Linked DNA regions of Astyanax mexicanus. The protein of the gene in region 2 interacts with the protein of the main gene of each other region in a pairwise test. Links are inferred from orthologs where the notes say so. Each region holds a gene or a part of one and is shown on either strand. Other genes may lie near its edges.

Evidence for each region.
Region 1: the proteins of sgta (region 2) and serpine1 interact in binary tests that used the Homo sapiens proteins (3 or more experiments, as listed by UniProt). The two-hybrid records come from large-scale screens. The link is inferred for Astyanax mexicanus from reciprocal best matches to the Homo sapiens genes SGTA and SERPINE1.
Region 3: the proteins of sgta (region 2) and nme3 interact in binary tests that used the Homo sapiens proteins (3 or more experiments, as listed by UniProt). The two-hybrid records come from large-scale screens. The link is inferred for Astyanax mexicanus from reciprocal best matches to the Homo sapiens genes SGTA and NME3.
Region 4: the proteins of sgta (region 2) and tumor necrosis factor receptor superfamily member 13B interact in binary tests that used the Homo sapiens proteins (3 or more experiments, as listed by UniProt). The two-hybrid records come from large-scale screens. The link is inferred for Astyanax mexicanus from reciprocal best matches to the Homo sapiens genes SGTA and TNFRSF13B.

What each region holds. Positions count from the first base shown.
Region 1 is NC_064415.1:25,930,209-25,937,638, reverse strand, and holds the start of serpine1 (plasminogen activator inhibitor 1), read left to right. Parts: upstream 1-4,416; 5' UTR 4,417-4,522; intron 4,523-5,488; 5' UTR 5,489-5,489; coding exon 5,490-5,730; intron 5,731-5,834; coding exon 5,835-6,059; intron 6,060-6,372; coding exon 6,373-6,567; intron 6,568-6,930; coding exon 6,931-7,129; intron 7,130-7,239; coding exon 7,240-7,340; intron 7,341-7,430. UniProt on the Homo sapiens protein: Serine protease inhibitor. Inhibits TMPRSS7. Is a primary inhibitor of tissue-type plasminogen activator (PLAT) and urokinase-type plasminogen activator (PLAU).
Region 2 is NC_064423.1:18,691,541-18,698,625, reverse strand, and holds the start of sgta (small glutamine-rich tetratricopeptide repeat-containing protein alpha), read left to right. Parts: upstream 1-4,059; 5' UTR 4,060-4,159; intron 4,160-4,207; exon of another isoform or gene 4,208-4,226; intron 4,227-6,465; 5' UTR 6,466-6,508; coding exon 6,509-6,608; intron 6,609-6,711; coding exon 6,712-6,815; intron 6,816-6,917; coding exon 6,918-7,008; intron 7,009-7,085. Other genes in the region: thop1 (thimet oligopeptidase), read right to left, coding at 179-327, 1,024-1,230, 2,678-2,690. UniProt on the Homo sapiens protein: Co-chaperone that binds misfolded and hydrophobic patches-containing client proteins in the cytosol. Mediates their targeting to the endoplasmic reticulum but also regulates their sorting to the proteasome when targeting fails.
Region 3 is NC_064426.1:27,535,006-27,542,059, reverse strand, and holds the start of nme3 (nucleoside diphosphate kinase 3), read right to left. Parts: upstream 3,010-7,054; 5' UTR 2,969-3,009; coding exon 2,890-2,968; intron 1,710-2,889; coding exon 1,579-1,709; intron 1,427-1,578; coding exon 1,325-1,426; intron 1,155-1,324; coding exon 1,042-1,154; intron 636-1,041; coding exon 518-635; 3' UTR 1-517. Other genes in the region: mrps34 (28S ribosomal protein S34, mitochondrial), read right to left, coding at 6,912-7,054. UniProt on the Homo sapiens protein: Catalyzes the phosphorylation of ribonucleosides and deoxyribonucleoside diphosphates, other than ATP, into the corresponding triphosphates with ATP as the major phosphate donor.
Region 4 is NC_064422.1:7,890,374-7,897,889, reverse strand, and holds the start of tumor necrosis factor receptor superfamily member 13B, read left to right. Parts: upstream 1-4,503; 5' UTR 4,504-4,520; coding exon 4,521-4,635; intron 4,636-6,354; coding exon 6,355-6,471; intron 6,472-7,516. UniProt on the Homo sapiens protein: Receptor for TNFSF13/APRIL and TNFSF13B/TALL1/BAFF/BLYS that binds both ligands with similar high affinity. Mediates calcineurin-dependent activation of NF-AT, as well as activation of NF-kappa-B and AP-1.

The DNA.
Region 1 (7,430 bases), on a different chromosome or scaffold from region 2:
ATTAAGTATTAAACCGGGCATGTTAACGCAGGAAAAGCACTAAAATGTGCAAGCCAGTGACCCTCAAGAACCAGGGTTAATAAACACTGTTTTACTTACTGTCTCCATAATGAACCATGTTTGTATTAGAGATAATAGAGATACTTTATAAGTAAAAAACAACAAATGCTGGTTCTTTAAAGCATTAAGGTTCTTAATACTTTATACTTATTCCTATCTTTAATACAATTATTGGGCCTCATTCACGAACATCTGCCAAAGAATGTTCTTAGTTTGTTCTTGGGAAACGTCACTGCAAAATTGTTCAGAGCTTTACTCTTGATAAATCAATGAATTGGGTTTTAGAAGAAATTTCATCTTCAATTCCTAAAAATCCTGTATTCATAGTACACTATAAACATATTAGGATCATACGTTTTTTAAACATGTGGACCCAAGACAAACTGCAAGCTGTAGGTCTTAAATTCTGTGAAGTCACTGTAGGCTCCCTGCCCACACCAGGCCATGTATCACATAGTTATATGAAGTGGTAAAGCTGGAGACAAACAAGCAACAGAGCAGTGTTGCATAAAGGCTCTTCGCTGAACCCAAACTGCGGTTTAGTTTAATAGATTTTCCAAAGCAGCCTTGGTCGGTTGCCATGGATAAGATGAGTCCTCCTCCAGCTAAAGGGAGTTCCCATGTGCATCTGAAATGTGAATCAGGTGGGCGTACCACTGGGGTCTGAATCTGTGGTTCCATATTTTTCCATTCACTCCATATGGAATGTAGCAAACTCAGTGGAGGAGGTGGGCAGTGATGACTGCAGATGCTAAAATTAGCCTAATGGCTTCATGAATGGAGACCGAATGAGATAAACTCATATGCACATGCCTTATACATGTTGCAAATGACAAATAGACCAGAAAATAATTACTTTCTGTGACATTGTTGTGGGATTCTAGTAATATAAAAACTGAGACAAACAATTAGACGCTAATGAAACACCAACATGTAATAGACCATGACCTCATACCTTCGTAATTATATTGGCTCTGTTTTGTCACTTGAGTGTCTAGTCTCTCCTAAGTGTTCTGTCATCATGCTGGCAGACTTTTTATAAACAGAGATTCCAATAAAAGTGGGACACGTTTACTGAAGTTACTAAACCTCTTTAATCTAAGAGTAAAATTAGTGCTGTTCCAACACTACAGTGTGTCACCATGCCCTCCATACAGTACACATACAGTTTTACTCTTACAAAAAGTTTTTTAAAAAAAGAGCTCATTAAAGTAAATCTCCTGAAGATCCGTATTTGATACCCTAATAAATCTTCCAGCACGTGGTTACAATTCGATAAAAGGGAGAAGAGCTGAATAAATATATTCATAAGCTATATATAATAAAAAAAAACTACCTATATTGCTTGTGTCAGCACCCTGGTTGCTGCGTATAATATGGCAATTGGACCATATTGCTTGTGTCAACACTGTGATTGTCAATTATAATATGTTAATTGGACTGTATAGCTTGATTGCTGATTATAATACAGCAATCGGTCTGCACCACTTGTGCCAATACCCGGCTGCTGAGTATAATACAGCAATCTATCAGAGGAGCTTGTCTCAAACAACGGTTCCTGTGTATAATACAACTGTTGGCTCAAGAAGCTTGTGCCAAAACCCCGGTTGTTGTGCATAATACGATGAGTGCCTCTTTTTACAACTCGCTGGATGCTGTGTATAAACTGCAGCCCTTGACTTGACTACCTGGTTTATCTTTTGGGCAAATCTGGTACCTGATACCTGAAAGTTAGTGCTTTTACTCCTGCATGCTTGTGGTTTCAAGCGAGCTGAGTAGGGACTAAACTGTGATATATTAAAAAAATATGTGTGCTGATTTGGCCAGAGAGAACATTCACTCTAAACTGCGCAATGCAGATATCTAGCAGCACAAAATTTCCAAGCAACATTAGCAATCACATTTGTTTTTATCTGTCTCGCAATGGCAGTTTGTAAAATTATGCTGTTATCTTTAGAAAAGGATAAAAATATATATTTGGATTGGTGGCTGACATAATTATACATTGAGAGTTGCGAAAAACATTGCAGGGGGAGGTGTGTTAAAGGAAAATTAACCAGAAACCAGGTACCAAAAAGCAAAAAAGTAGATAACCACCACATGATAGTCCAGTAGATAACCACCACATGATGTAACTTCAATGTATACTGTTCTACAGTGCATAGCAAAATCTAACTAGTATATATGGCACAGGAAAAAAAAAAACATGTTGGTTTTCTAATAACTCAAAAGTGTATGAATCTTAAAAAGCTGTGTGAACATTTAAGACATTCAATTTAAGGAGATTTAAGATTTAAAGAAACCATCACATCACGTAAATGTTCTAAAATATTTTAAAGTTGATTTATAAAACTGTTAGGACTGTTAAAGGAAGCTTTTTGGTAATGTTTATGGTACAATCCTTAAAATATTGATGAAAAATCAATTCCAAATTAGTATCTTTCATTAAACAATGAAAAATAATAGCTTAAAAAGTCTTTATTTTAATGTAATGTTTCCTTTATACATTTTATCTTCTTTCTGCATCTTCAGGTACAGACATATCGAGTCATATGAGGCATGTTGATATCATCGTATCATAGCCGGCTGGTGTAAATGTGAAACACAGCCGCTCTCCCTCTTTTATATTCCTCCTTTTACTCTCGTCTCTCTGTCGCCAGACGCTCAGTCATCTGTAGAACTTGGGGCATGCAGCTCAGTCCGTGAGCATGCCCCATGGAATGCTGGATCTGTAGTTCCAAATATGGCAGTGTGATGTGTCATTTTCACCAGAGGGGCCCACTGGTGAATTTTGGCTTTGACTGATGTTCTTGATTAGGCCACATAAGAAGAAAGGATTTTGGTTGTGTTTCCTTTCAGGTCCTCTTCTCATTAGGGGTTCCGGGTTCATGCCTCTAATGAGCAAGCCAAGGATGAGACATTGGAAAACTCAACCAGAGCCAAAAAAAGAAGAGTCAAAGGGAGAAGCCATCCTCCTATTGTCAGAAACAGATAACACAAGAGGAGCAGGTGGAGTTAAGATAAGTATTATTCTATAAATGTCACAGACAGATTAATATGGAAATAACCAGTTGGTCAATTGCTAATTTTAGAAGCATATTAGAGGTTATTTAAAAAAATAGAGTTTAAATGAATGATATTTGTAAGATCTGTGCCCTCTTTAATGTGTTTAAGAGCATCAGTTGTAAAGTTGTGAAGAGGCAAACAGTTGGTATACAGTGAATGATGCTATTTAAGTAATGTTCCAATCCATATTATGGCAGGAACTACTCAACTAAGAAAACAAAAAATCCTTTAAAAAATATTCCAAGAACTCCAAAAGTACCCTCAAGTGCAGTCGCAAAGACTATCAAAAACATTATGATGAAACTGGCCCTCATCAGGACAGCCCCAGGAAGGTAAGACCAAGAGTTACCTCTGTTTTACAGGATAAGTTAACATCATGCCAGAAAAGAGCACCTAAATGGTTCACAGAGTATTTTGGTTCGTTTAACACTTTTAAGTTACTAAATGATTCCTCATGTGTTCCTTCATAGTCTGAATGACTTCAGTATTCATTTACAATGTTGGAAAAAGAAGGTGTGTCCAAACCTTTAACTGGTACTGTATAAACAAATGTAAAGTGTAATAAAAAATAAAATAATAAAAATATATTAGTAGTAATAAAAAATAAAAATTAAAGAATGTGTAAAAATAAACATATTTAAAATAATTGTACAATTTCTATATGAATTTGGCAATGGTCAGTGCCTTTTTAAACAAGTTATGTATGATATAGTTTGATGTGGTTTAAGTAGTCAACTCAGAAAGTATGAGTGGTGTATGCATCACTACATAAACAAAAAATATCCAAACCAACAGCACCCTATGGACAGAGTAGACCTAGATCATTAATATCCCCCACTTTGTTTAGACAGAGCATTTCATTGTTATTATAAAACTCTGCATTTTTATTAAAACCAGACCCATCTATTTTCACTAGTCTCGCACTGGGGCACTGAGGCTATATTAGTGTGTAGTGTAACACAGTGCGTGGGTGAGTGAGTGGGTTTGTAATTTAATTAGCAAACACTCTCAGAGCGTTCACTGAGTCTAAACTGCTGCCAAATCCTGTCAAAGTCAGCAGCGGAGCTCCCTGGGGGGAACAGCATGACTCGGTTTAGTTGAGTCTGTTGAAGAAGAGAGAAAATCGTGTTTGAGTGTGAGTGTGTGTGTGTGTGTGTGTGTGTGTGTGTGTGTCTGTGTGAAACAGAGCGCAGGAGTAGGGGTGGCTCAGGCTGGAAAAGCAGACAGAGATGACTTCATAACTTCCGTTCCGCATTTAGGGGGAGGGGTTCTGGGTCCTGAGTTCTTTAAAAAGAGAAGAGAGGCAATTGCTCGTTCAGTCCATGCTGGATAGGCACAAGGAGAAGGCACATCTACAAGCTTAGATCCACTGAGACTACTACTTCCAGACTTTCAGGTATGGGTTATGGTTTGCTTGCACTTTTTGGACAAAAGTTGTTTTTTTTAGGCTTGATTTTCATTGTGTAGAAAATGTTATATGGGGATAATTGTGTTGTCAAACTTGTAGAGTAAAATCTTTTCTTGTATTTTTTATTTTTGAACTTTGTCTTGTAGTTTTATATTCAAGTCACCTTAAAATTAAAAATCCAAATTTAGGCTACAGATCAAGGACTTATGTTTTAGAGCTAGGGGTACTGTATTGGCTTTGTCAAGAGATTACCTCCACTAAAATTTCTTCAAAAAGTATTGTGACAATAGTTGACGCAGTTGTTGTTGACTCCATGTAGACTTTCCATATAAAAAGCCACTTGAGTTTAAGGCTATTTAACTTGCCATGTTAAAATATGCCAGTGTATTGCAACTGATTTTATAATATAGATATATAATAATGTACAAAATCTTGGTTTTACAAAGCTTGGTAATTGTCGGAATAGGTCACGTAGCTAGGTGTGTTCATTTTAGCGGATTCGTGAATAGACCTGCAGAGAGATGGAAAGGTGACTCAAGGTAAGCATTTAGGAACAGCAGCACTGAATTTACATTGTGGGTGTTTAAGTACATAGAGAAGAATACGTGCCTTTCAGACACACTTATGAGCTCCTTCAGGTCTGTCTGAGTGTGATGGCTACTGGCGTCAACCACTTTTGGTTGTGAGGGAGTTTAATAGCTTAAAACGGTGATTGTAGCAGATGCCAAGGACAGGATTAAAGGACAGGAAGCGCCACATTAGATATGGGTGAATTATGCTGTTGATTCCAGTACAGCTTAAGGCACTAAATATAGTGTAGTAGTACCACATGTTCATTCATTCATTCATTTACTCATTGTGGTTCATTTATTCATGAATTAACTGATTAATTCAGCATGTTACTCAAACAGTATGTCTAGATTTCATATTCTTATCCATTCTCTCCTTATGCAGAATGCAGACACTCTGTGTACTGATGACCCTTGCCTTTTATGGGTCAGCGATGGGCACCTTCCTGCAGAAGCAGCAGACGGATTTTGGACTGCGGCTGTTCTCAGAAGCTGCTCACTCCCATCAAGATGAAAACTTTGCCATGTCACCCTACGGCATCTCCTCCGTGATGGGAATGGTCCAGCTGGGAGCTTATGGCAGCACTCTAAAGACACTCAAAGAGCACATGGGCTATTCTCTGCAAGGTAAGAATGGAGGGAAAATTGTTTTTATGCACCAAATAAATGGATTTTCCCTGATTCCAATCCAAGAATTATATAGAAACCTATAATTTCTGTACTTTCTCCAGATCGTGGAATGCCACGACAACAGAGGCTTCTTCACAGAGACCTGTCCAGTGAACACGGAGTGGAGGTGGCTAGTGGCGTCATGGTGGACAGAAAGCTGATGTTGGAGAAGCCCTTCCGACGCAGCCTTACAAAAGCATTTCAGAGTGTCCCTCACCAGGTGGACTTTAGCAAGCCAAAGACTGCCCAGCAGGTCATCAACGCCTGGACGTCAGACAGAACCGGAGGTGTGTGTGTGCTTTTTTTTTCCTTTTGTGTGAGACTGTGTATGTGTTTGTGCAATTATAAATGATAATGAATTTAGATAATTTTTTTATAATGTGTTTTTTGATGTTATTTGTCAATTGTAATTAAATTGAAACCAGCCTTTCATTTTTCAGAGTGTGATGATTAACTCTACCTTATTAGAATCTTTTGTTTGTCTTGTTTTTATGATTAAATGGTTCCGTTTGAAAGATTATGTCAGAGTACACTGTGTACATGTGGAGATCTCACGTGCTACTGAACAAGTCCTGAACTCTGCCCTCTCTCTTCTCTCAGGCATGATTCCAAACTTCCTGCCGTCCGGACTTCTGAGTCAGCAGACTCGCTTGGTGCTGTTAAACGCGCTTCACTTTCACGGCCTCTGGATGACACCCTTCGACCCCAGCCTGACCATGGAGATGATGTTCCATGGTCCTAATGGTAGCACACTGCCAGTGCCAATGATGAGAACCACCAATAAATTTAACTACGGTGAGAATGTAATGGAATTAGTGTAATGTAATGTTTTGGGTGTGACCAATTAAATTGGCTTATTTTAAGGTTTCATGAATTTACTTGCAGAATTCCTGTTGATCCTTATAATGCTGTTTATTTTTTTTCATAATGAAACTTAAATTCTAATTTAGTCAGAAAATCTTTGTTTATCAAAACAATTGCAGTGTAATTTTTTTGGCCAAAAACATTATTTAAGCTAATATTTTATATCAGTCCAGCCTTAGTAATGATTATTGGATGAATGAATGAATGAATGATTAAGAAATACATTGATATATAAGCTCTAATATTTATACAGCTATTGCCATTGTTTTAAATATTGCCTGTCTCATCCTCCAGGTGAGTTTGTGACGAAGGAAGGTGTTGATTACGATGTTATTGAGGTACCCTATGAAGGAGACTCAATGAGCATGCTCCTGGTGTCTTCATTCGAAAAGGACATGCCGCTGTCTGCCCTCATCAAAGAGCTGAGTGGCAGCAAGGTCCAGGAGTGGAGAAAGAACATAAAGAAGGTCAACCGCCAGCTGGTGCTGCCCAGGTAAAGAGAATAAAACCTTTATTTTACTGACATTTACTATTTTTTGGATTCTGATTGTTAATTCTGATTATTTAGAGTCTAATACAAGTTTGCGTCAATGTTATGTCCAGGTTTTCCATTGACACAGAAGTCGATTTGAAGTCAACACTGAGCAAACTGGGGCTTGGAGACATCTTCAGCCAGTCCAAGGCAGATTTCTCACGCATTACTAGTAAGTATATGCAAGTACACATATTTTATGTCTATAAAGACCTCTGGAGTTGTTGAGAGTGAATGGAATAAAGTATTGTTTTAAAGTAAT
Region 2 (7,085 bases):
GTTAATTCTGAGCCTGCAATCTGATTGGCTGAGAGGTGTTCTGTGCGTGCCTTTATCAGCCAGTAATGCACTGTAAGAATTTTTTTGTTAATATCGCACAGCCCTACTGTCTTCCTTATTGATTCCATCCTTAACCTAATAAAAAAAAAAAAACACCCCAGACATTTAGGAACCTAACCTGAAGCGCTACAATCCTTTGGTACACATCCTCCCTCATGCTCATCTCCACATCAAACTCCGACAGCTTCTTATCTGCATCGGTGCTGGCCGTGCGCACGTCCTTAGAAGACGACACATGCTGAGGGAAATCCAGCATGTTCCGCTGGACTGGAAAAGAGCCAGAGATGATGCGATGTTACAGGTTATAAATAATGGCTTCAGACTAATGCTAAGAAATCAGTTTAATACCTCATATTACTTTTTATAGGGCATTATTATATTGTAAAGACTAATGTGGCACTAACTGAAGCATTAATGAAAACACATAATTCAAAACACATCATGACAATACTTCTGTATTAGGGGAAAAAGGACTGAATAAAAAGGTAATAACACTTTGCCATAACATTTTATTTGATTTATTTTTTTTGTCAACAGAAAACCTACACAAGATAGGTGCCTTGCAGTGCTTCCACTCTGCACACTAAACAATGGCAAACACTATTGTTGTGCATGTGTCAGTCAGCCAGTCTTTATGTAAAAAAGTGCTGAACGGTGTGTACCATTGCATACGGCTTCCCTGCTGACTCAGCCTTTTTATTTTTTGTTTCACAATAGTGATAACTGAAACCTGGTCACTTTGTTATAAATTAGGGCTCGTTGTGTGAAACAATCTGTGCTTAAATCTTGTGAAGATGTCAGAAAAGTTGAGGACTCATCCTCAGTATATAGATCTAACCAGATTAAGTAGAAATACATTTGCATTCATGTGTCTATTCTGGTATTTTAAATACCAGTAAGTATTACAGTAAGTATTAAATGCATTAGAAGCTCCAACCACAATCACAAACCATGAAGTATTACCTGTGTAGTCCACCTCCACATCAGCAAGGGCTTTCAGAGTGTTCTCATAGGTTACAGCATCTAGATCCAAGGATCCTACAGAGTCATAGACTTGCTTGGTCTTTGCAATAAGCTCATCCGTAAGCTGATGGATCTGCTCTGGAGTGAGGTCCCAGCGCAAACGATTGTCAGCACAAACTCCATCTCCACCGCCAAACACTACTTCACCTGAAGCAGAAAGTTTCTCTCATGTGTTTCAAATATCAGAAGAGATGAGCTTTTAAGGCATTAGGTTTCAAATGTATGTTTTGGGATATAATACCCATATCGTATTGTACCAAACCAAAAGAAAAGAAAGAACCCCACACCCACAAAAAACATACTAAACTGCAGATCCCTCATACATTACACAATAACTATAGTTTATTTATTAGTATAGCAACCTAAAAGAATAAATATATTTTGATACAATTTTTGGTACATCACCCAGCCCTATCATGTATTATTACTTCCAAGACATATCTATTAGTACAACATACTTGTACAACATATTTGCCCAACTTTACTTGTTGTAATCTTTTTGGATCTCTGTAGTTAAAATGACAGAATCGTTTAATTTATCAATTAATATATATGTATATATTTTTTTTTCGTCGTTTTGTCACAGAATAGGGCTGGACGATATGGCAAAAAATATATCACTGTATATTTCTTAGTTTTGGGCTAAACGATAAACCATTGTACAGTTGATGCGGAGTTCTTTGAGTACCAATGATATCGTTGATATGTGAGAAAATGTTAATATATTGTCCAGATTGTTTGCAGAACAGCAAGGGCTAAAAAGCAAAGTAAGTTACTAAAATGTCTAACAAAGCCAGAATATTTTATCTGTATAACTTAGCTGTTTATCTTATCTTATGGTTATATGGAAAATTCTCAAGCATTGCTGAGAGCTGAGTTTGTTCAGCTAGCTTAGCTAACATATGTCTGTCAGCTTGTCTAGTAACGTTAATGCTCCGTTTAGAATGACGCCCTGAATTTGTAATCAGTTCGATATAAAGCTAACCCTAAAAAAGGTAGTTTACATACAGCTTAAAAAACACAATAAACACCAGCGCAAACCTGCATGTCACTGAACCATAGGGGAAATAATATTAACCTACACGTGTTCCTGGTATTAATGGAAGCTAAAGTGACGGCGCTTAGCTAACCTATCAAACCAGCAGGCTAACTACGGTTAGCTACACAGCTAGCTGTCCGGCTCAGTACAAGTGCATATACACAGAAGGCTAACTGTAGCTAGCCGGCAAGCTAACATAACGGCATTACAACACAAGAACCTGCGCAGCTAGCTAGCTATTGTTTTCATAACCGGCAAACGGCTGTATGTGTGAACACTACAGCAGTGAGTAGCCGCCACCGTGCTCGTAAAAACAGAGTAATGGCGGTGTTTCTAAATTAAACATTACAGTTTATGTTCACTGTTAATCCAGCTCAGTACTTTACACCCCATATACCCAGCGCTGCTCTAACCTACTGAATCGTAGAGCTGCATTCAGACCCCTGTTCATCATTCAGTTAACTATTAGCAGAAAGTACTGAACTAAAGAGAGGAAAGTAACTAAAAAGTGATAGTCAAACATCTACCTGACTTTTCTAATATAACCTAGATTACCTGTAGGTGCCATTTTTCCACGCGTTTCTCTGAATCAATGCTCGCTGCTCCACCGCCCGCCCGTGATAGCTCTTCCCTGTGAGGTGGTATCCTCCCGCCCATTTCGCACTCATTGATTGGGTCTGAGAGTTGTCAATCAACAAAACCCCGCCCAATCCTCTTCTGCTCAGTGATAGTACACAAAAAAATTTAAGAATGATAAGAATGACTTTTAAACGAAATACATACATTTAATGTGGGAAAAGAGAGTTTGAATTGGAATTATGTGAAATATTTACAGACTATTTTGCATGTATTTATAAGAATTAACACAAAAACAGAATCATGTTTAATACAGCATTTAAACTTTCTTTGAAATATTGCTTCATAAATTAATAAATTAGCTAATGCTCGTTTGTTTAGAATTAGTTTCTTGCAGAATAAAATAATCTGTAAAAAATAACTGAGTTTAGTAAAGAATATTGATATAACACACTAACTAACACTTATTTCACAAAACACATATCTTAAATTAACTAAGAATTGTCTATTTTAGTAAAAATGTCTCATATAACTAATAATTAATTAATTAATTAATTAATTAATTAATTATTTGATCAATTTAGCTATGGTTGTTTTACAGTGTCATGGACATTAAAGATATTATCTTCTAAATGCATAAATAAATTATCTAACTAATTATGAAGTTTTTGTGACAATATTATACAATAAATAAATAATAAATTACTAATTTATGATTACTTACAATTAGTGGGAAATTATTTATTTGAATGAGGCATGAATAGTTCTGATTATATTAAAATTAGCTGTAAATAATTTATACAACCTTTAACCTTTATTTTCACTCAAGAATACATTGATGGCAACCATAATTTTTTAGTGAACTTCTAACATTTTAATTATAAAAACAATAAACATTAAATGGCAAAGGCATTATAAAAACAAACAATAATGATTTAAGTAAGAATAATCTAAATTATTCAGAACAAAAAGATAAGTTGACAGGCTAAAATGTAAAGAGGAAAAAAAGAGAGAAATAAAAAGAATGAGCAAAAATAAAAAGAAGACTAAAATATGTAAGTAATTAAAAATAACAATACGATTATAAAGAAAGTAAACGGTACAGATAAAATAGGTATAATGAAACAAGGGGTTAGTGTAGATTATATATATTTATGAGTGCATATATTATTTCTTTACCTTAGTAATTAGTTATGTTCCCAATACATTTGTTCATAAAATGAATTCCCATTTTAATGCAGCCCATACTGGGGAGGATGTTTTAATCATAGACATGAATACGTGTTCACGTCTATTGTTTTAATGATGATAGTATTTTATTTTTATCATATGTTTAGCGACATTATAGCTACGTCAGTACGTTTTACGCTGGTTTTACGCACGGAGGGGTGAGTTTACGTATTACGCAGCGTACGCCAGACTGAGAGCGCAGCGAGGAAAATCCCTGCAGTGGGACAGTCAGTAAGTATAAAAAGATTTGAGAAAAGGTCTGGGTGTGATTCTCGGGAGTGTAGCTGAGTGACACAATGTAGGCCGTCTTTACCTCTTTACCTGGTTTATGAGCGGGGCAGATTTTAAAAGCTGTTTGCTGTTATTGAGAGTTGAGCTGCCTTTACTCTGAACGAAACGAGCTAATGCTAATGCTAGCTAGCAAACAATGTTAGTGAGCTGGATATCGAGGTAGCCCTTGCGGGTTAGCTTAGTTAGCTTAGCTAGCTGCGTTACGCACGGTTAGACAGCGTGTAGCCGGTAGTTGCTGATATAATAAACACATGTATTCCTGTTTACACTGTTAGAGTGTAATGATTTTAGCGCTGTGAGCAGCTGAGGGGGTTAAATTGATAGCTAGTTAGCTGTTGAGGACACATCATCAGACTAGCTAACCTAGCCAGCTGTTGCTAGAAGATTCCGGGTCATATGTTCATATGAAGTCATTTCACTAGAGACAGCAGCAGAACAATCTGCTGTATTAAAGAACTGAACGATTCGGCTGCGTTAGGCAAGTGTGTTAACCTACTTGGACAGATACTGTTACTTAGTTAGATAGTTAGGTAACTATGTATATGTGCGAGGTTAGCTAACGTTAGTTAAGACACAAGCAATCATCTTGATGATCTCGTGCTTGCATGGATGGTACTCCTAGCAGTACAGTGACCTCAGTGTAATTAGTCATTGTAATTAAAGTAATGTTAACTGAAATGTGTCATTATTAGGAGATTGGAAAAAATATAGTATAAATCACCAGAATTATGTAATGATTTATGTTAAGGGGTCAACCAGTTCCTAAATTATTGAAAACCTAAACTTATGATGTGAATCTTACTGCAGACCTTATTTACCCATGACAATTTGCCAAATTTCTCTCACCAAAGGCATTATTACCTGTCCGGTTCCTAGAGTTTTTACTGAACTGGGAAATCTGCTTTTAGCTACAGTGCAGCACCCGAGAGCTGGAATGTACTACCTGAAATTCTAAACTGAGTCACTAAATAATTTTAAACTAGTAGTCTCTAGCCACCTTCAGTCAGCCTGTAACTGCTTTTAGTTGAGTTTTTTTTTTGCCTTTTAATTTATTTAATTTTGTCTTTATTTATCATTTTTTTAGCCTTTTTATTTATTTGATTCATTTAATCCTTTTGTTTGTTTTATTACTGGTTTTACTTGTGACCTTTTACCATTTTATTTAGTTTATTTTGTCCTTTTATTTTTTATACTTTTTTTTATAAACTTATTATTTATTTTAGTTCTGTCATTTACCTTATAATTTGGGTGTTATTTTACTCCTCTATTTCTTTAAATGTGTTTGTCTTTTATTATTCTTATATTTTTTATTGCCTTTACATTTTATCCTTTTATTCTGAAATTATTTCTTCTTAATTAATCTTATATTGTTTGCTTGTTTTAATAATTTAAAACACAGGAATTTCCACTGGTGGTAAAAAAAATAAAAAAAATAAATAAAGACATCTTAAAAAATTAAAACGAAATGTAGTGAAAATGTGTCCAAAAAATTGGGCAGTAAAAATCATATTAGGCTGGGTTTTTTTTTTTCATCAAAAAAAGAAACAAGACCAGTTTGATTTAATTTATTTTCAGGTCTTACTAAATTCCAGCTCTGATGTATCTTGCACTGTATGGAAATTGGTGATCCCACCTGTCGTGATGCTAATTTAGAGCCGTTTTTCACGACGTGTAAAATTGTGACTTAACGCAGATAACAAACATAAAGACAAAAATACCACCAAAAACAACACACAAATTTACAGTGGTGGAAAAAAATAAACAAAAATGAAGGTAAGCTAAATGTATTGAAAAATAATACAGATTACCCAATACCCTACTAATAATGCAACACACTTTATAAAATATTGGACAATAAAATCATTTATGTTGGGCAGGTGTTTTATGTCAGGCAGCAAAATAGAAACATGACCTGAACATGAAAGAATTTAAACAATATATTATGCACACTCCAAACTTGCACTGTATTTATTCTTTTGGAATAAATATTATTTTTGTGCTGATATGATGCACCAGTTGCTGGCTTGGGTGTTAACAGATTTTATCACTTCCAGAGAAGAGCATTGTCAATAGAACAAAACCCACTGGAGGATCTCCGAATGTGCCTTAGATCATGTTTAGTAATTATAAATTTGAGTATGGTCACTTTAGGCAGTTCACAGTCAAAGCTTTCAATTTTACTGAACTTTACTTTTTGAGATGATGTTATTCTGCTAAACATATGCCCACATGTTCTTATATTTCAGATTTCCTCAGAAGTAATTGGAGAGAGCTTTTTCTCCAGCCAAAATGACAGACACAAAACGTCTCGCTTTCTCCATTATCCAGTTTCTCCATGACCAGCTCAGGTCTGGGGAATTGTCGTCAGATGCTCAAGAAAGTTTAGAAGGTAAATACTGATGCAGTTCTGAATGAATGGTTACTAAGCTTATATTTGTTTATGGTTTTGAATTAAAACACTGATATGATTGATCACTAAAACTGCTTTCCAGTTGCCATCCAGTGTCTGGAGACAGCATTCAGTGTCTCAGTGGAGGACCAGAGTTTAGAAGTTACTGAAACTTTGCCAGAATTATTTGCAAAAGCCACTCCAAAGGTAGCAGTCTATATTCTCTTTAATATTGCTGTTCAGATACAGAGTATTGGTATTATTTATGATTTGAGAATTGTAAATAAAGACTGTGTGTATCTATGACAGGTAAAAAACACACCTGAAGTTAAAGTCAACTCTACCAGTAATCCCCTAACAGAGGATCAGATAGCAGAGGCAGAAAGACTTAAGAGTGATGGTATGTATATAATGTGTGTTTGTTTTGATATTCACAAAAAATACTGGATTAAATTAGTCCCTTCTAAATTGGTTATT
Region 3 (7,054 bases), on a different chromosome or scaffold from region 2:
AACCTTGCATTTCCATAATGTTAAGTTTTTTATTCTTTAATTGAATCAAATGATGAATGCTCATTTATGAGAAATGGACCAAGTGAAATGAGCCTAAATTACTTGAAATAATTTCTCCTGTAAAGCTGCCATTTAGGATATACAAGGTTTTTGCATGACAGCAACATATAAAGTAACAGCATACAAATATATCAACATACATATTGCTCGTTTATGTGCATTAATGAAAATATCAAAAATGTGTGCACGTGTGCACAGAAATGTAAACATGTTATCAAGTACATGGAGAGAGGACGTGTTAAGAGGACGGTGATCATTTTTTATATATCTCAGTGGTTACGTACCACAGTTCTCAGCATGAGTACTAAATCAGTGTTTATCTTATCTTTGAAAAGCCTAAAACTTCACATAGATCTTCTGGCATGCCACTTCAACAAAATAACTTTCTACTGCTGCACTAGAAGGTGTAAGGCCGCAAAGCTCTGTATGTGTTTGTGAATGATGAAAGTGAAGGGTATCACGCGTAGATCCAGTGATCAGTGCTCTCGTCCCAGCAGAACAGCTCGTAGTCTTTGAACCACAGGGAGATTTCTCTCTGAGCGCTCTCCACCGAATCACTGCCATGAATAACGTTCCTGCAACACCACAGATACATAGCAGTTATTTGTGCCATCAGTATTAGCATACCTTCAGCTGCAGGTCCACATGTCCTATATTAGTCCTGTTGTGACAATTTGTCTACACAGGTAAAAATCACCAGGCTGCTATTAAGATTCTATTACATCTATTAAATGCACTTTGTTCATTTAAACGACTATTTAGGCTCTTTACAAGGAAATGTGCAGTCAAACAGTGATCTTTAAAGTCAAAGTACCTAAGTTTGAGGAAATTTAAGATCTCCTTGGTGAGAATGTGTAAATGAGAATGTCAAAAAGTACTTTTAAAACATGCATTGTGATGCATTTTGCTTTCAGAATGAATTAATCTTAATTTTAATTGATGAATCAGTTATTTTAACATAATTAGGAGCATCTCACAAACCTTCCCACTTCTACACAGAAATCCCCTCTGATGGTTCCTGGAAGGGAGTCAGCAGGATTTGTCTCTCCAAGCATCCTTCTGGACATTCTTACCACATCAAGGCCTTGCCAAACCTTGCGAACAAACACACAGATAGACATACAGTATATATATATATATATATATATATATATATATATATATATATATATATATATATATATATATATATATATATCTTAGAATATGTAACAGTATAAGACAGGATGCAATTTGATAATCAGGTGAAGTATCTGTATCTTACCATAGCTACAATGGGTCCAGAGCTCATGTATTTGACTAGACCTTTGTAGAACGGCCTTTCCCTCAAGTCCCAGTAGTGCTCCATCAACTGTTCTTCAGAAGCCTGTTCAAAAATAAATAAATAAAAAATGTATGACATAGGAAATTATGTTTATGTCACTGATGCAGACTGCAATGTTAAGCAGCTGCAATGTCACAATACAGAAAGGGAAGCCACTCAAACCTTTTTTTAATTAGTTTCAAGCTTTCCTTTACCTGCAGGAGTTTCATGCCGACCAGTTTGAAGCCCTTTCTTTCAAAGCGGCGGATTATCTCTCCCACTAGCTTCCTCTGAACACCATCCGGCTTCACTGCGAGGAAGGTTCTCTCATTTACCCCCGTCCATCCTGCAAAGCATTTACATAAGCACACAGGAAATGACAGGCAGTTAGGAAAAATGTATTTTATATATATATATATATATATATATATATATATATATATTTTTTTTCCAGATCTGTAGTTAAAATATTAAACACAATTGACATATAGTCAATTGTGTTTAATATTTTAACTACAGATCTGGAAAAAAAATAAGAACGCTTAAAAATGATGAGTTTCTTTGATTTTACCAAATTGAAAAACTTTTGTACTATAGTCAAGAGGAAGATCACAAGCCATCAATCCAAGCTAAACTGCTTGAATTTCTGCACCAGGAGTGGCATAAAGTTATCCAAAAGCAGTGTGCAAGACTAGTGGAGGAGAACATACCAAGATGCATGAAAACAGTGATTAAAAACCAGGGTTATCCCACCAAATATTGATATCTAACTCTGCATCTGCTCTAAATGACAATATTTTTATTTGGAATTTGGGAGAAATGTTGTCAGTAGTTGATAGAATAAAACAATGTTAATTTTACTTAAACATATACCTTATAAATAGCAAAATCAGAGAAACTGACATGGTATCTTAATTTCTTCCAGAGCTGTATATTAAATGCATTGCTAAATACACGATTGTGTGTCATAATGATAAAATTAGTAAAAAAATAAACATTTACAGTAATGCCTTTTTATTGTATGGAAAAAAGTAAAAACTGCAAATAATTACAACATGGTTCAAGAGGATTTTGGATGATACAGTTTAGTTTAAATCTAGACATTTAGTTTAGTTTGCTTCTAGTTGTGGAAGTGAAAACTCAGAACAGTTAAAAATCAGCCATTCCACTGTCCAGAAATCCATTTATTAATAATAAAGATTGCACTAATCTGACTTTAAACATTCTCAAATTTAATTATGAATTTTTGAATCCTTATATTTTTCAGGTTTCCATAAATACAGGACTGCATGCTGTATACAGACACGTTTAAACGGACCTTAGGCAAAGCAGTCAACACTCTTAATAAGCTAATACCAAACTATAAACCTATTACACTGAGGCTCAGAGACCCGCTGAACAGATGGCTTCATAACAACAGCAAGACCCGCCCTGAACCGGGAATCTCAGCCAGTGAAACTCGGTACGGTTAGGTTATTCATTAACGTTAAACTACTCAGAAATTAAACGCCTCCTTTCTGCTGTACCTGATTCAGTGATTCGGGCGATTTTCGCACCTAAATCCAGAATATCTGCAGAGTCTGTAAGTGACCTTTTGGAGCCCATGCTGCGTGCAGCCGCCTCGCGCGTTCAGTCCGACACACAGACCAACCAATCAGGTGAGGGAACGCCGGGGGATGAACACTCGGCAACCAATCAGAAAAACGGCGCTAATAATAGGGTTTACACAGAAACAGGCAGAGGCGATTCACCTGCTAACGGCCACTGAACTCTAGTGATGAGGAGCTCGAATCAAGATAGATGAACCGATTCTTTCAAACTGAACTACAGCGATTACAATTCGATTCACACAAACAAACCGATTCCTTCAAACTGATTTTTTGTAAGATTTGGTAAGTTATACTAAAGTTCAACGAACCGATTCTTTAATAAAAACAAAACACAATGAGAGTAATATGAAATAAGTTTAAGGCATTAGTTTCCTTAACATTCCTTAAAAAATCAAAACATTCACAGTATTTCGAAGAAAAAAAACGTTTATAAATGTAGTTAATTTTCAATCAAGTCAATCATGTATCACTTTTCTATACAAGACACAAACATGCTAATATCATGGTATAATTTTAGCAGTTGTGACCTTAGAATCACATTAATGAACCGATTCTTTTAAGCTGAACTGCAGATATTAAAGAAAAAAAAAGATGCATGAAATTAATCTGATTCTTTCAAGTCAAGTTAAGTCAAATAGCTTTCATTGTCATTACATCTAAGTACAGGTACACAGTGCAAGGAAATTATGTTTCTCTGGAACATGGTGCAACATGGAACAACAAAGAGATGGGAGGTTTAAATAGGCACTAAACCCCCTGATTTTTGCTGAGTCCACCTTTTAAAAAAGGCTAAAAAATGGGAGGGGGATTTTAGGAACGGAACTGGGTGATGTATGGGTTTAGAAGCAGGGCAGGAGGGAGAGCTGATTGGCTGAGCTGCAGCAGTATCAGTGCTTCTCTGATAAGCAGATGGTTGGACGTCAGCAGGAGGCGGTATTATTGATGATCTGATCTGAATAGTGTGATGTGTCTGCGTACAAAAGTACATGAAAGCAATAAAACAATCTTTTTTTAAAGATTGAGAAATGTTTATGAAAAATTTAAGCAGGACTGGTATGTTTCACCTATTAATAGACAATAAGGGTTCATTGGCTTTTTTAACATTCACTTATCAAGTCAATCATTTTATACAAGTACTATGCTAGTATCATGGTATAATTTTAGTTGCAAACCCCAAGCTGTTGTGAGAAGACCTTAGAATCGCATTATTGAACCGATTCTTCGAAACTGAACTGCAGAGATAATAAAAAAACATTTGTGAAACCAAACCGATATCAAAAATGTGTGCACGTGTGCATAAATGTAAACATGTTATCAAGTACATGGAGAGAGGACAAGACGGTTACCAGGGCGGTGATAATTTATATATGCATCATAGTTCTCAGCTTGAGTACTAAATCTGTTTTGTCTTATCTTTGAAAAGCCCCAATTTTTACATAGAAGCCTATTTGAGCAGATCCATCCTCTGGCATGCCACTTAAAATAAAATAAAAAACAACATCCTACTGCTGCACTAGAAGGTGTAAGGCCGCAAAGCTCTGTGTTTGTGAGTGATGGAGGTGAAGAGCATCATGCATAGATTTTTTTTCAGGTAAAAACACGATAGATACTGTGTATCATAAGATTATATTTCAATTCTGCAATACAATATTTTCCCATATAGCCCAGCTCTATCAGTGATTATGTACACCTAGGGTGGTAGCTTTTATACTGTTCATATCGATATCACAATTATATTGTTATAATTCGTTCAACTTCATGTACCACGCGTGATGTAAAATGACAATAAAATCACCTTGAATCCTTGAACTACTTTACTGAACCTATTTCTTTGAAACTGAACTGCAGAGACAAAAAAGGAGAAAAAAAGATTCACTACACTGAACCGATTCCCTCAAACTGACATTTAGAGATGGAAGGTTTTGTTGAGTTTGCTGAACTGATTCTTTAACATAGGGACCAATAGTGGAATTTTCTTTTGTTTATGCTAGCTAACCTAACTAAAACTACCACAGTGTTCACAGAACTTTGACAAACATGTCGATAAATGTAACTAATGTCAACTTCTCACCTGAGACACTGGCGAGAGGTGATTTTAGTGTACTTGTTATGGGATCTTTGTAACTCAAGTCAGCTTTATTTGCCTAATTTTTCAACACGCTATTTAGCAGCCTAGGTTAGGTTAGCTAGTGCTCGGAATACATTAGCGACGGTCGTAGAAAAGAAGGCAGTAAGTTACACCGCATGCACACTTTAAACAGGACACGTTTATTATTATAACCCTGAGTTAAATACGCATAAAGACAAACTCCACAGCACCAGCTAGCACTCACATTTTCCACAGTAACTAATTACCCTGCCAGTTAGCCAGCTTAGCTAACTCAGACTCTTAAATTTACCCGTGTTAATTAAAGCAGTCTGAGGCTAAAGGCTGAGACACTACTGTGTGAATCCGGTGTTATGGGGCTCTTCAGAAATCACTCACCTGTTTTAAACATGTAGGCGAACAGGCTTAAGAAAAGGCAGATCATGGTTCTGCTGAGTCCAGCTCGCCGGCTGTCCCGCCTGTCCCACGAGTTTTTGGGGAGAAAGAAGAGGGCGCGCCTGAGCACGCGCACTAACGCCGCGAAAAGCGCGTGCGCAAACGAGCGCGTGAACGACCTCTACTCCTTTGCTCACTCACTGCCTTTGACTGCAGTGCATGAAGACCACAGACTGTATGTACAGTCAAACGTTTGGACACATCTCTTCTCATTCAATGTTTTCTTTCTTTTTATGACTTTCTACATTGGGAATTTTATATTAAAGTCTACTTTAGATTCTTCTAAGTACCACATTTAGCTTTGAGAACAGAGCTCTGCACACTCTTGGTATTTTAATTTCAGTGTCTTCATGAGGTAGGGTCACCTGGAATAATTTTCTCAGCTGGAGCTTGTTTTCATGTGTTTAATATTAATCAACAACATAGAAAAGAAAGAAAGAAAGAAAAACATGAATCAGAAGAGTTGTGTCCAAACTTTTGACTGATACTGTATGTATACAGTCTATGATCAAGACATGAACAGGCTCTTGTACTTGGAGTAGTTGGTTCAAGACAATACGGCATCTGTTCTTTAATTTCCTACCAGGACAGTTATAATCAGTACATTAAATTTGTTTATTGTCAATATATATATATTCATTTTAAGCCAACTTTAAAGCTCATGTGTGTATAAACATATGTATATACAGTGGTATGAAAAAGTTTTCATTTTCATGATTTTCCTTTATAAATTATTGGTTGTTCGAGTCAATTTCCATTAAATATAGCGCCTGCCTAATTTTCTTAAAAAAAAAACATTTATACACTCTCTGTAAATCCTATAAACTTTACTTAACCTCTCAAATATCCCTGTGTTTGTCTGTTATATGATATATGTAACTGAAATTGCTGATCCAAACAACGATGATTTATAAAGGAAACTCTTTAAAATTATCAGGGATGCGCAAACTTTTTCATACCACTGTATATATATTCACGCCATCTAGAAGACAGACTCATTGTTTTATCTTTTCTTTCTTTTTACTTTTATTCAGTTTAGACAGATTCCTGGTCATATATGTATATGTGTATGTATATCCGGTGTACCTTTTGTTTGTTTTGTCATTGTTGAAACACTAATGCTTTAATATGTAGATAAATAAATAAAAAAATCTAAAAAAAAAAAAAAAGAAAAGAAAAAAAAAAAAGGAATTTAGTTGTAGCAGTTCAGACATAGGTTTAGTGGGTATGTTGTTTTTATTCATAAATATTGCAATAAGCAACACATCATAGTAGCACATACAGTACAGAATATTTTACACAGGTCATCAAATCCTTCTTTAAAAAAAAGGGGGGAGAAGGGATGTTCAAACAGCCAATGTCCTTTAGTTTCTAATTTTACAAACTTGGTGTGGTACTAGACTGGAGTTCCCTCCAGTTTCCGTTTCTCCTCCTGGCTGCGGAAGTACTCTTTGCTGAGCAGCACATCTCGCTTCAGAGGCAGGCTGGGCTCAGGCAGGCTGCTGGCATCTATGCCCAGCTGCTTAGCTTGCTGGGCGA
Region 4 (7,516 bases), on a different chromosome or scaffold from region 2:
CATGTATGTACTCTTGAGCCCCCACCTGACATCATACCAAATCATACTAAAATGCTGTATCTGTATATATCAGAGTATTATTTTTACTTCACCACTGTACTTAAGTACTAAACTAAAAAAGTTATATCTTATCTAATTATTAATTGACACTAGTTATGACATTAAACATTGCTAAACTTTAATTAATTAGAATGCTGTAAATAATAATTAATTAAGACAACAGATAACAAAAGTTAAAGGTTAATGGTGTCTTAACTTATATTCTGAACTTGGTATACATACTGTTAATTAATGAATCCTTAGGGTAAAGTGTTACTCCATAACTTATGACTTATGGCAGTGTATTTATCAAGGGTCAGGATCAAAGTGCATCTGTGTAACTATAATATCATGATATTGTGATTCTACGATACTCTGTGTACCGTAATTATCACAATACTTTATGATACTTCACAGCAACTGTGTTACAGAAGAGAATAAAACACTCCTAAACAAATAATAGGAATTATAGATTTATTGGTGTCAGTTTCACAGTATTTCATAACACATATTTCTTTTTTACCACAGGTTTACTATTCCTTTGATTAGCGCCACCATGTGAAGTAATGAGGCAGGAACTTTAGTAAGTCAAATTGGGGGCGAGTAATAGGGAGTTTAGAGCACCTCGGTTTCAAATACGAATATGAGACAAAAGAGCAACATTTCAGCTTTTATTTTCAGGTATTTACTGGATCTTGATCTGATACACAGTTCAGAAGATTAAGCACCTTCTGTCTGAATCCACCCATAAGTATTGGAACAGACAAACCTAAAGTAAATTAAAGTGAAAAAAAAACAAACTTCATATTTAGTTGCAAATCCCTTACTTGCAATAACTGCATCAAGCCTGTGACCCACTGATGTCACTAACCTTATGGAAAATAGCTTTTTTTTCTGCTGTAGGTTTAAAATATTTGGGTTTGACATTAAAAAATTATGAGACAAAAAAAGCATCTGTACTTTTGTTCATAAAGTCTTCTGTGAACAGTATATTGATCTGCAGTCCTGCTCTCTGGGGGTTGTTGCTGATTTGACTAAAAGTTGTTACATTACATTACATTACATTTGGCAGACGCTTTTGTCCAAAGTGACTTACAATAGTGAAGTACAAAAGTAATAGAAGTTAAAGGTAAAACATCTTTAGATAGGGCTTAAAGGAGGTCGAAGGGAAATAAGGGGATAGAGAAGTGAAGGAGGGGAAGAAGGAAATGAGGTTAGAAAAGGTAGTGTATTAGAGGTGTTAAGAGAGTTGTTTTAGGTTTCCATTTCATTTTGTAAAATTGCTGAATCAGGATCAGTTACGATTTACTGAATTCTATGGAGAGGTGATATTAGATACCTACAGTACTTTTACTCCAAAATGCTTTTATAAATGAGGCCCAGTGTTTCTGTCATCAACTGCTGTGTTATTTCTTGGTCTTCTCAACATCTGTTACTTAGTACACCAGTGACGACTTTCTTCTTCAGGACATTCCAAACTGTTGTACTGGCTATGCCGAATATTTACAAATTGGCTCTGAATGATTTTCCATCTTCCCTCAGCTTCACAGTTGCTTGATTTTTACCCAGATGCTCAGTCTGCACAGATAAAACCCAAATCTGAAACTGAATGTAGACATTCAGCACTATTTATTGTTTGAATAATCAATGTATCAGGACACACCTGGTCAACAAAACACACCTAACACATCTGACTTACTCACAAGTTCCAATACTTTTGCTCATAAGGAAAATAGCAGGGTTTAGACAGAAGGTGCTATCTTCTGAACTGTGCATCAGATTCAGATGTAAATACCTGGAACTAAAAGCTGAAATATTGATATTTGTCTCATTTCCATCGTTTAATGTCTACATTAGAAATAGGAGATTGGTCTCGCTGTTTTAATACTTTTGTAGGGTATTGTTTTTGGGATGTATTGAAGTGGAATCAGTACCTGAGCTTACTCATGCATACTCTCTGGGTCAAATGCAATCAATTCCTGCTTACAGCAATGTTCTTAGTGTAAATATTTCCCAGTCAATTAGAGGCTGTTACTGCAGCAAAGTGGAAATATCACTTCATTTCAGGAGGAACAGATGAATGCTGGAGGATCTGGGCGTCCGGATACTTTTGGACAGGTAGTGAACAGCACTGAAAAGTGTTTAGTCAAACTGGAGCTTTGTTACATCTCACAAGTCATGAGAGTGTAAACTCACAAGGAGTGTCCCAGGAGACCCCAGACTGCGGCTTTAGGCAAATGAACAGGGTTCTGAAAACACACCCGAAGCTCTGCAGCACACTCACTCTGCTCACTCCGCTCACTCCTCTCACTTCTATGGCTACTTAAGGTAGGTGTTTACCTGTACGCTCTCCCAGGCCGACAGACGTGCACTCTCCTGTGCATTCACTATCCTCTACAGGTGGATACACAGGTGGTGTTACTCTCAAGGCCTTGTCTTTTTAAAATTCTTCTTTATTATTATTATTTTTATTACTAATAACATTGCTGTTACCAATTGTGCAGAATGACCTTCCAGGCAAATATCACTCAAACATCATTACAACGTGTTTCTGTATATTTTTTATGAACTGCTGTTAGACTATAACTACTGAATACTCAGTACTAAATACTAAATAGTTGACTACTGTCTAATAAATACTGAAAACTAAATACTGATTACTGACTACTGACAATTGTATACTGACTACAGACTAATGAATACTGACTACTGAATACTGGTTATTGACAACAGACTAATGAATACTTACTACTGAATACTAAATGCTTATTATTGCCCACTACTAAATACCGATTATTAAACACTGCAGAATGAATATTGAATACAAAATACTGGCTAATATATACTTACTACAGACTAATGAATACTGGCAATACTAAATACTGATTATTGACCACTTTCTAATGAATACTGACTACTGAATACTGGTTATTGACAACAGACTAATGAATACTTACTACTAAATACAAAATACTGGCTAATATATACTGACTACAGACTAATGAATACTTACTACTAAATAATAAATACTTATTATTGACCACTACTAAATACCGATTATTGACCACTGCCGAATGAATATTGAATACAAAATACTGGCTAATATATACTGACTACAGACTAATAAATACTGGCAATACTAAATACTGATTAGTGACTGCTTTCTAATGAATACTGACTACTGAATGCTAAATACTGATTACTGACTACTGCCTAATGAATACTGAATACTAATTACTGACTGTTGATGATTATATGCTGACTACAGGCTAATGAACACTGACTACTGAATACTAAATACTGATAATCGACCACTGCCTAATGAATACTTACAACTAAATACTAAATACTGATTATTGACTACAGGCTGATGAATATTTACTACTGAATGCTAAATACTGATTATTTACCACTGGCAAATGGATACTGAATACTAAGCACTATTTCTGACTCCTGGCTAATATATTACTGACTACAGACTAATGAATATTGACAATACCAAATACTGATTATTGACTACAGCCGGATGTATACTAACTACTGACTAGTGAATACTGATTATTGACAGCAAACTAATGAATAATGAATAATAAATACTGATTATTGACTACTGAGGATTATATACAGACTACAGACTAATGAATACTGACTACTGAATACTAAATACTGATTATTGACTACATACTGATTAATACTGACTACAGACCAATAAATACTGACAACAGCATACTATATACTGATTATACAGTACTGACTAATGAATATTTACTTAAATATAATAATATACAAAATAAAAACTGGTTATTGACTACTGAATACTGACTACAGAATACAGACTAATACATACTGATGGCTGAATACTAAATACTGATTATAAACTACTGACTAATTAATGAAAACTGTCTACTGATTAACGTAATCATAGTGCAATAAATACTTAAGGATAACTATTGAATATTGATTTTGAAAACTGACAACTGACTAATACATTTTGACTACTGAAAACTGATTATTGCCTACTGACTAATTCTTATGGTATACTAATTAATGTAATAATAGCTTAATGAATGCTGACTGATGACTCATGAATATTGACTTGTAAAAAGTGACAACTGACTTATAAAATACTGAGAATTGGCTAGTATTAACTACTGACCACTGATTTCAATACTAACACTCTAACACTGATTACTTGCCAATATTTTACTGGCTGCAGAATACTGCTTACTGGCTGAATAACAACTAGGGCATCATTCATCAGTATTTTGTTGTAGAGAATTGATTATCAGCAGTTTTAGTCAGTAATCAATTAATTGATCAATTAATCAATACTGAATAACTACTATTTACTGACTATGGACAACAGACTCCGATTCAGTTTTCAGTGTGTTCTGAAGTGGTTAAGCGTTGTGTAAGTGTGTCAGTAGTGTGTTTAGTAAAGATTAAAGGTATGTGTGCAGGTGTGAGTATGGTGAGGAGCGATGGCAGGAACCTGTGCTGGAGGACAGTACTTGGACCGCCTGCTAAAACAGTGCATGCCCTGTCAGCTGGTGTGTGATAACCCTGACCCCCCCACTCGCTGCCTAGACTTCTGTGGTGAGTAACACACTGCTAACAACTCAGAGGCAGAACCAATCAGAATCTTTATTTCAGCTGGGGGTGAGACAACAAGAGCCAAACTCAGAGACATAACCAATCAGAATCTCTATTTCAGTTGGGGGTGAGACAACAGAGAGTCAAACTTAAAGGCAGAACCAATCAAAATCTGTATTTCAGTTGGGGGTGAGACAATAGAGAGCCAAACTCAGAGGCAGAACCAATTTAGAATCTCTATTTCAGTTGGAGGTGGGACAACAAGAGCCAAACTCAGAGACATAACCAATCAGAATCTCTATTTCAGTTGGGGGTGAGACAATAGAGAGTCAAACTCAAAGGCAGAACCAATCAGAATCTTTATTTCAGTTTGGGGTGAGACAAAAGAGAGCCAAACTTAAAGGCAGAACCAATCAGAATCTTTATTTCAGTTTGGGGTGAGACAAAAGAGTGCCAAACTTAAAGGCAGAACCAATCAGAATCTCTATTTCAGTTGGGGGTGAGACAACAGAGAGTCAAACTTAAAGGCAGAACCAATCAAAATCTGTATTTCAGTTGGGGGTGAGACAATAGAGAGCCAAACTCAGAGGCAGAACCAATTTAGAATCTCTATTTCAGTTGGAGGTGGGACAACAAGAGCCAAACTCAGAGACATAACCAATCAGAATCTCTATTTCAGTTGGGGGTGAGACAATAGAGAGTCAAACTCAAAGGCAGAACCAATCAGAATCTTTATTTCAGTTTGGGGTGAGACAAAAGAGAGCCAAACTCAGAGGCAGAACCAATTTAGAATCTCTATTTCAGTTGGAGGTGGGACAACAAGAGCCAAACTCAGAGACATAACCAATCAGAATCTCTATTTCAGCTGGGGGTGGAAGAAAAGAGAGCCAAACTTAAAGGCAGACCCAATCAAAATCTCTATTTCAGTTGGGGATTAGACAATAAAGAGTCAAACTCAGAGGCAGAAACAATCAGAATCTCTATTTTAGTTGTGGGTGAGACAATAGAGAGTCAAACTCAGTGGCAGGACCAATCAGAATCTTTATGTTAGCTGAGGGTGGTACAAAAAAGATCTCAACTCAAAAGCAGAACCAATTAGAATCTCTATTTTCAGCTGGCAGTGGGACAACAGAGAGTCAAACCCAGAGGCAGAAGCAATTAGAATCTCTATTTTCAGCTGGCAGTGGGACAACAGAGAGTCAAACCCAGAGGCAGAACCAATCAGAATCTCTATTTTCGCTAAGGGCGGGACAACAAAGAGTCAAACCCAGAGGCAGAACCAATCAGAGTCTCTATTTCTGCTAGGGGTGAGACAATAAAGAGTCAAACACAGAGGCAGAACCAATCAGAATCTCTATTTTCGCTAAGGGCGGGACAACAAAGAGTCAAACCCAGAGGCAGAACCAATCAGAATCTCTATTTTCGCTAAGGGCGGGACAACAAAGAGTCAAACCCAGAGGCAGAACCAATCAGTATCTTTATTTCCACTAGGAGTGGGACAAAACAAAGAGTCAAACTAAGAGGCAGATCCAATCAGAATCTCTATTTCAGCTGGGGTTGGGACAACAGAGAGTCAAACTTAGAGGCAGAGGTAGAACAATGTTGTTCCCTTCTATTCAGTACTTGGATTAAACTGGTGATGTAGATCATTTGTAATTAAACTGATGAAGATCTGATTTTGTGATCAGTCTCATTACAGCTCTTCTGACTGTCTGTTTACAGTGGCCTTCAGCTGTAAGGCTGTATCTGGGCAGTTCTACGACCAGCTGCTGAAGAAATGCTTGAAATGTTCGGAGCTGTGTGGCCACCACCCCTCAGAGTGCTCACAAGAGTGTCCGAGTAAGTACACAGCGGCCGTGTCCCAAATTCACTCTATGGGCCCTCATCAAGTCAAGTCAAGTAGTTTTAAAGTCAGAAAAAATGAATATTGAATACAAAATACTGGCCTGTATTTACTGACCAATAAATACTGGCAATACTAAATACTGATTATTGACCACTTTTAAATGAATACTGACTACTGAATGCTAAATACTGATTACTGACTAATAAATACTGAATACTAATTACTGACTACTGACGATTATATGCTGACTACAGGCTAATGAACACTGACTGCTGAATATTAAATACTGATTATTGACCACTGCCTAATGAATACTTACCACTAAATACTAAATACTGATTATTGACTACTGCCTAATGAATACTGAATACTAATTACTCACTGTTGATGATTATATGCTAACTACAGACTAATGAACACTGAATACTGAATATTAAATACTGATTATTGACCACTGCCTAATGAATACTTACAACTAAATACTAAATACTGATTATTGACTACTGCCTAACGAATACTGAATACTAATTACTGACTATTGACGATTATTTGCTGACTACAGGCTAATGAACACTGACTACTGAATATTAAATACTGATTACTGACCACTGCCTAATAAATACTTACAACTAAATCCTAAATACTGATTATTGACTACTGACTAATAAATACAGACTACTGAATATTAAATAGTGATTATTGACTACAGACTGATGAATATTTGCTACTGAATGCTAAATACTGATTATTTACCACTGCCAAACTAAACTAAACTAAAAATGGACAAAAATGCAGATACTTGTTTTTTATTGGACAGTGACGATATGTACAGGACATACAGAGGATTGAAATCATGTTACTCTTCTTCCCAAAAGTTACAACAAGTACAGCAAGATAAAATATAAATATAAAAGAACACAATACACTAAATGTACAATACAACAAGGCCACAGATATATACATACTTAAGACAAGAGACACAAGATAATAGTGCAATAGTGAGGGGGATCATTGTAAATGGGACCAATATAAACATTA